2 linked regions of the Oryzias latipes genome follow. The protein of the gene in region 1 interacts with the protein of each later gene in a pairwise test. Links are inferred from orthologs where the notes say so. Each region holds a gene or a part of one and is shown on either strand. Other genes may lie near its edges.

Evidence for each region.
Region 2: the proteins of srf (region 1) and elk4 interact in a two-hybrid assay, tested with the Homo sapiens proteins (2 studies listed by BioGRID and IntAct). The link is inferred for Oryzias latipes from reciprocal best matches to the Homo sapiens genes SRF and ELK4.

The regions. Positions count from the first base shown.
Region 1 is NC_019873.2:29,042,216-29,046,554, forward strand, and holds the start of srf (serum response factor), read left to right. Parts: upstream 1-1,522; 5' UTR 1,523-1,868; coding exon 1,869-2,498; intron 2,499-4,339. UniProt on the Homo sapiens protein: SRF is a transcription factor that binds to the serum response element (SRE), a short sequence of dyad symmetry located 300 bp to the 5' of the site of transcription initiation of some genes (such as FOS).
Region 2 is NC_019863.2:24,090,691-24,094,508, forward strand, and holds part of elk4 (ETS domain-containing protein Elk-4), read right to left. Parts: coding exon 3,233-3,818; intron 516-3,232; coding exon 276-515; intron 1-275. UniProt on the Homo sapiens protein: Involved in both transcriptional activation and repression. Interaction with SIRT7 leads to recruitment and stabilization of SIRT7 at promoters, followed by deacetylation of histone H3 at 'Lys-18' (H3K18Ac) and subsequent transcription repression.

The sequences.
Region 1 (4,339 bases):
GGGGAGGTGTTTTTATGTAGAAATGGATTTAGTTTAAAAAAGAACATGGTCTCAAAAATCAGTGTTTAAGTGTTCTAACATTTCATAATTAGGTTTAATATTCATTGTTATCAAAGCTTGTGGAATTTCATAAATATTTGCCAGATAAGTTTTCAGTCATTCTTGATTATTTCTAAATCCATCCATCGTTGAGGGAAACTAGTAGCTCTTGGGCCCGTTTTGATCTTGTTTTTAAACTTTTTAAACCTATTTTTAAAAAGAAAGTTCTTTATGCTCATGTTTAAACTAATGTAGTTTCCTGTTGACTTCCATGACAAGTTTAACCTGACATATATACATATATGCACACCGTGATGATGACGATGGATTTATCCTTTAATTTCTTAGTTTGAGCTCAGATTTGTCTTTTTTTTTTTTTGATGGAACATAACTTTACTTTTTCTAAATTCCATTTTTGAAATCTTTGAAGTTCTGCTCATCATCTTCTGCCCTATTTTCAAAGTCTTCCTAGTGGCCTTTTAAAAGTGATGATGCCGTTTTTAGCCTAAAACAAATCTGTGTCGTCTTCCACCGAGGCTGTTAATGTGGAGCCACCCCGCCCCCTTTCCCATCACTGTTCTGAAAGCCTAGACCAGCTTGTGACCACCCAGCATATTTATGAATCCTTTTCAAACAGCATCTTTTCTTCTGCTCCTGATTCACAGCGATTTGAACAAAGAAATGAAATGTCAATTAGAAAAAAGCCACATTTTTTTGGGGGGGGGGGGGGGGTTCTTTAGGTTGGGTGGTGTTGGGCTGTAGCTGCTCCAGATTTGGCTGATTTAATAAAGTTTTTTTTTTTTTTTTTTTTAACAGGAACCTTTAGAATAAGAGGAATATGGTTTTGGACCAGTTTTGACCTTGAAGCTCTTTTCCATCCGTGACCTTTAGACTCAGTTTGGTGACCTCAGCTCATTGGTCCAGCCGTCATAATAAAGGTAGACCAACAGGTGAGTTTGAGGCCCGAGCAGACTGAAATAAATCACCACGCGCTTTTTGTTGTACTTTTTGTTTTTCACGTTATTTTATTGTTGGCTTGTAATGTTTTTTTTTCTACATTTGTGTTGATGGGGACAAATGTTTGAATTACAAACTGCGTAACAAAAAACTCAAATAATCTGTAACGGAAAACTTTGTGTTTTTGTTGCGCTTTTCGGCGACATGAGCGTTGACTGTGACGTTGACATCACTGCAACCATTTTGGTATTTATTCAAATGAGCTTCTATTATCGTCCAATCACTGCTTTAGTCAGATAATCTTCAACCAATCAGCAGGCGACGTTGTGACTCACCAAATAAGGAGAGACAGCACCATATAAGGAAACGTTGTATCTCTTTATAAGGAGGAAAGTAGTTCCCTGGCTCTCGTATCACTCCGCCGTGGCGATAACTTTTTAAAATGCGGGATCATTTTATGCATTTCTGATCCACGTAAACTAAATAATGTAAATAAAGCGACGCCTTCACGTTTTCGCGTGAGTACATAGGGTGTTATATTCGGCCTTTTTTTTTTTGCTCACACGGCGAACTATGTGACGCAGCGGAGTCATATCGACGGAGCTGTTCGCGCTTTCCTTTTTGAGAAAGTACGGAGAGTTTTGGAAATAGAGGAGGAGTGTGGACCGAACGGAGCCGGGTTCGCGGGTCCGGGGGCAGCGTCACTCTCAAAGTCTGGGTCACTAATGTCTCGTAGCGTCCAAATCAACTGAGCGCTTTGTTTACATTGCGTGGCCCCGGCGCGTGCGGTATATATCAGGAGGCACTCACGCAACGCCACGCTCCAGCTTCTCCAGCTGGTGTCTCGGGACTCGGTCGGTCACCTAAATATAATGTTACCCAGCCAGGCTGGATCGGTACCATCTGGAAACGGGTCCGCGTCCGGCAAGGGCAGCACCGGTCACAGTTCGGGGGTTGTCGGCGGCGGGATTCGCCCCGTCCTGGTCCGACCGGGGCTAAGCGACGGCGCGGGCGCTGCGGGGCGACACGCCGGGGACAGGGACGCGGTTGGGATGCTCGGAGCCAACGGTCCAGGCGGCTCGAGGGCCGCGAGACCGGGAAACGGGACCGGAGGGAACCCCCTGCAGGCTGCCGTACCGGGACACATGGTGGGGCTGAACGCGGGCGTCGTGCTGCCCATGGGGGCCCGGTTCGACCCGGAGCGGGTGTGCAGCGGCTCCGACAACGACTCTGAGTCCGGGGACGACGACGACCCGGTGGGGTCACTCGGGGACAGCAGGAGAGGGGTGAAGCGGGAGAGGGGGGAGATGATGGAGGCTGCGGCGGCGGGGCAGGAGGCGGGAGTCACCCCCGGAGATTACGGCATGGTGTCCGGGGGAGTCGCCGGGGCAAAGCCCGGGAAGAAGACCCGGGGGCGCGTGAAGATTAAGATGGAGTTTATAGACAACAAGTTACGGAGGTACACGACCTTCAGCAAGAGGAAGACGGGCATCATGAAGAAGGTGAGTGTGTGAGGCGCGTGCACGCTCATTGATTGATTAAGATGATTGGTTCATTGATTTGTGAGCTGACAGCTCCCTCAGAGGAGGAAAGCATGTCCAGAGTTTGGGTCTGGAAGTTCTGACATCCTCCTCAGAGGATGCAGGATCCCGGTTCTGCTTGTGACGAAGTTCACCCCACATAACTGTATGCAGCTGCATGCATGCATGCATGGAGCTGCATGCATGCATGCATGCATGGAGCTGCATGCATGCATGCATGCATGTATGCAGCTGCCACATGGCTTGCAGGCCTGCATGTGCCAACAGCTGACTAAACCCCCGGGAACCGGACCAGACGATTGCACAGACCACCGTATGGTGCACCCAGAACCAGGAGCAGAACCTCATTGAATACTCATGTTTGGTTCTTCTGCACACGGAACCGCTCTCTTAAAAACCCGATCACACAGAAATATTCTGCTGATCATCTGAAGGTCATTAGGAGCCAGATTTCATAAAAACTCCTCTTTTTTTCAGTGTGTTTTTATTTCCACAGCACCATCTAAACTGTTGTGTTTTGATGCATCCCAGACTGTTGTCGTGGAAACTGTGGTGTCTTCATGTGGGCTTTTGGCAACAATGAGGGGATGGAGATTTCTGTTGCCCACACTCCGTCAGCCCTGACAGGAGCTGACAGGTGGGTGGAGTGGGACGACTCATCGTAGCTCTGAACTTTCATTTTGACGGATCCACGTGATGCTGGAGGTTCTGTTCCTGGTCCGTAGGTGGTTCCTTCTCATGGACGTTTTGGTTTCTCCTCGGCGGCGAGCGGTGGAGTCGTTCGTGGTGAACGCCGTGTCGTTTACAGGGAGCAGGGATCTGCCGCTGGTTTTCAGTGGCCCCCAACACGGCCTGAGATAAAGTGATGGTTCGGGCTCCTGAGTTCTTTTGCTAGGACGTTTCGAGTCTTTTTGGACCCGGATGAGGCCTAAGAAAACAGCAAAGAGCCAAAGTTTTTATTTGAACTTCTTTACGTCTGTTGATGCATATATGGATCAAACCACTTTGGCTCCAAAATAACTTTATTGAGCATCAGCCTGAGAACAGCTGGCATGAATACAGGCGTTAAAGGGTTAACATATGCCTGTTATTGTACGGCAATTCTCGTTAATGGCTCCGCTTTAGTTGTGCCAAAGGAACCAATCAGGCGGAGACAGCAGCCCCCCACCCCCACCTGCAGCTACTCATATTTATGTGAAAATTGGCAGAGCGAGGAGCCCTATTAAAGGCCGCCGTCCACGCTCAGGTTGACAAATGAGTCCGTTTTTCCAGGCTGGACGTTGGCCAGACTCGGCGGTGTTGTTGAAGCGGCGCCGCGGTAGGCAGCGAGGGGAGGTGAGCGTGGAGTCACGGCGAGGAGCAGAGGGGCTGGACGATTGCTGCTCTCCACCGCTACTCTGAAGCTTTCGCCGGTTTTACAACGGCTCCATAAAGTTCTCAAATTTGAATTTGATTTGCGAGTTCTGGGGCGACGCCCCCGCCGGCGTGTGCTGAGGGGGATGGCGGCCTTCCCTGACGGTGACGGGAGCATCTTCAGGATGAGCGATGACTCTGAGGGGAGTTCAGGCTGAGTGCAGCCGTTTGGTCGGATGTGTGTGTTGGATGCAGTCTGAGTCCAAGCATCTGCTGGAAGCCATTCCTCCGTCCTCCTCGCTGGAGGGACGAGCTTCTCCTGGACTCGAACCTTTATCTTCTGCTATTTTGGTCTCTGTGGTGAAATGCATCACTTTTATTTCTGGATTTTTCTGCAGGTTGGAGTTCTGACGTTCCCGTTGAGATGTTTGAGGGCCGCGTTTCCGCTC
Region 2 (3,818 bases), on another chromosome or scaffold:
CGAGCAGGACAAGCAGAAAACATGGAGGGTGATGACAGCTTTCCTAAAAATGATCGTCAGATATTTAGAAAAGCTGTTTTTTCACTAACTCTTCGTTTGTTGAAGCCACAGCTAAAGCCTTGGTCAGACCGCATCCCGTTATGGGGGGGAGGGGTTTACCTGTCCGGCTGCGATCTGACTGTACCTTTGTTTTTATTCTGTTGTCATCCTGACTCTAATGTGTCCCTGACTCGTGTGGGCGGAGCTTCCTGCTGCTGCTCACAGGCAGAACTCACCTGCAGCATGGCGGGCGTGAGAGAGGGGGTGGGGAGCGACGGGCTGCAGTTGTTCATGGGGGAGAAGTCCGAGGCGGTGACCAGCAGAGTAGGCGGGCTGATCTGCAGGACTCTGGGAGGCTTGCGCGTCTTCCCGGAGCTCTGATTGCTGGCTGCGGTGCTGCTGCTCGCCGACGACGAGCTGGTCTCCGCGTCCACCAAGTTGATCTCGTCTCCGGGCTGAGCGCCGCCGCCATCCACCTGACAAAACCAAAAATGCTGCTTTACTTTCTTGGGGTCGGGGAAACACTCTGGATTACTTTAAAGTCTTCAGATCATTAAACTGAATCGCATGTCAGGTAAAGATAGCCTGCGATAAGCCTCCAAACAGGCTGTTCCAGCTGCAGCAGCAGCAACTGCATCTCTAACGTCCTGCTGGGCAATAAAAACATTGAGACTTAAACAATCCATTAGATCTGGATTCACACTAGGAGTTGTAACAATCACTGAATTGATTTAATCTGTCTGAGGCAAGTTGTTAATCGAATTGAATTGAATTGACAGAAATGATTTAGAAATCATTTTAAATCAAAGAAAGCAATTTTATCGATATTATCAAATACCATTTAGATTGAGACAAGGTAGGTTTATTTTACTGTAATGTAAAAATAACCAAGTGCATCACAGCAGACAACTCACATGTGATGTCAGCAAAAACTGATCACAAATCCATCACTCCAGTCTAATGTGTGGAAAGACTTTGAATTTAGCAAAGACATGCGGCCATAACAGTTTGGTAGAATGTTCCAAAAATGGATTATTTGGATGTGGAAGAACAACTGTGCTGAACTTTAGGAAACTAAAATGTAAATTGATTTGTCATTAATTCTTGTTTACTCATTTGCTTGTTCATGTATTTAATTTACACTTGATTATCATGCCAGAAATAGAAAGAATCTGGAAAACTTCAGCTGCTCTGTTCAGTACACAGCTGTTTATCTCTCAGTCACCCTGATTAAAGTATCGGCTGAAGATGTCCTGGATTGGTTTTAGTTCAGTTAGTTCGGTAACAACAGTCCTTGTTAAAATAAATCCTTCCACCTCTAACTCACACGTGCAGCTTCCAGATTGAACAGCATTTAAATACACTTAGATTTATATTAGAGTTATCTGATCATTTGATCAGAAATCAGGTATGATCATGTTGTTAACTATTTTTAGTAGTTAATAGAAAACTCTAGTAAATGGTTAATAATTTCTTTTTTCTATTTTTACTTCTTAATGGTTAAGAATTTTTTTTGTAGTTGATAGTTTACTATATTTACTAGATAACTTGATTGTTGAAGCTACTTCAGTGAAGTTCTCTGTTTTTTTAACAAGAACTTTATTACTCACAACGATCCAATACAATACAGTGCAATACAGGAAAAGAACATGCCAGGGGGTTATGATTACATGTTACACAAAGACATTAACACTGACACACAGATCAAGTGTTTTCATCGCTTTCTTATTGTCAGAATTCTATATTGTGTTCATGTATTGTTTGACCTCATTGGTAGACATTGGTAGATATAATTGGTAGATTTGGATGAATGTTCCATTTGCATAAAAATAATATGAGATATGCATAATTGTTCTTTTTTTAATGGTACGGACAGTGGGTGAGGAGGCCAAACATACAGTCAGGACCATAAATATTTGGACAGAGACACATTCTCTCTAATTTAGTTTCTGTACATTACCACAGTGAATTTTTAAGAAAACAACTCAGATAACATTGAAGTGCAGACTTTCAGCTTTATTCCATGGGTTCCACGCGAGATAAACAAACGCATGTGAGAAATCCGTCCCATCCGCGGTCACTTCACCTGCGTGGAGCACTAAGTTTAAGCTGATGAAACAGCGGAACATGCGGCGGTTTTTAAGTCAGAACTGGAGCTGCTTCACTTACAGCAGCAACAGACCGATTAATAAAAAGTGTTAAGTATTTTACTACGAGAAGAAATTCTGAGAATTTGCTTTTAGTTCTTAGCTTATCCCTTGTGCTATCCTATGGGGTCCAGATGACCCCACCCTTACCTTGACGTGTTCTCCCTACCATGACAAAGGTGGATAAAGGTGGAAAGATTTCATGTAATCCATGGACACCAGTGAGGATCACAAATCATTCAAGAAAAAAGGTTTAGCTCACTGTCTAGTGGGTCTAGATGACCCAACTCCCAATGTTAAAGTGCCTAGGATAGCACAAGGGTTATTTACAGTATGTCAACAAAAATGTTTGTCAATGTTATGTTTGAGTAAAACTTGATTTAATGCTTTGTTTTTAAATGGAGCAGATCAAACAGTTTAGCGATCTGTTTATGTTCTCTTTTGAAGCTTTTGTTTTACTTGTGTTCCTTCAGTGTTCTGTTGAAAGTATGATTGGAAATCAATATTTAAATCTAAACAACCGGCTGATGATAACATGTTTCTCCTAGGAGCAGCAGTTTTCAAATATGACAAAAATAGTTATTTGGATTATATCGTGATATATCGTTATTGCCTGATATGAAAGAAAAAACTATATTGTATAATATAAAAATTTCTATATCGCCCAGCCCTAATATTAATATAATTTTGTACAATATTTTAGAAAATCATTTTTGCCCCCCCAAAACAAGAGAAACTGCTTTAAAGCAAAGTTCATATCATAGATTTGATTTTGATGAAAATTTTTTGCTTTTTTTAATGAAAATTTAGATTAGTGTAAACTTTTCTAATCTAATCTCTCCCAATTTTTTCTACAGATTTTTTTTAAAGGCTACGTGGTGCGTTTCAGTGTCAGCTATTTAAAGAAACTTTAAATGACTTGTGAGCTGAATTTCAGAACTAAACGATCTGCAGATGAGCGAATTCTTTATCTTTTTTCGCTTTAAAAACAGATGTGACAGATGACGTAAAAGAAGGGGGTGGAGCCACGTTTCCGTGGCGTGTACCTTGTCCTGTTCTGTGGGATCTTCAGGCTGGGAGGAGTTCACCTCCATGTCGCTCAGGATCACCAGCTCCTCTGAGGAATCCTGCACGAGGTTCGGGGACGCGCTGGCAGAGCTCATGTCCGCCAAGCCGAAGGCCGGTTCCGACTGGCGGCTGCTTTCGAAGGAGTAGACGGGCTGGTGCTGCAGGGAGGAGTGTGTGGCGGCGTCTTCGTCCCTTGGAGGCGGCGCTTGCAAAGGATCTGAGCTGTTGGGCATCAAGCCGGGTTCTGTGGCAACCTGAGGAGGAAGCGGCGCCGGCTTCGGGGGGCTGTTTCCAAACTTGATGACTGACGACAGAGGTGGAGACTGTTGCTGCAGCGGCTGACACTCCTGTCCCTGCGAGGTGACAGCAAGCAGCCTCTTCTCCATCTTCTCTGCCGGGTTCTCCATTTTAATGGACTTGAAGAGCTGGGGCCTGTTCTGCAGGGAGTTGAGGTGGAAGGAGGTGTACAGGCCCGAGTGGATGTAGTCGTTGCGGTTGGACTGCTTGCTGCTGGCGCCCAGAGCTGCTGCTGCTGCTGCCGCCACCCTGGATCTGTCGGCGAGC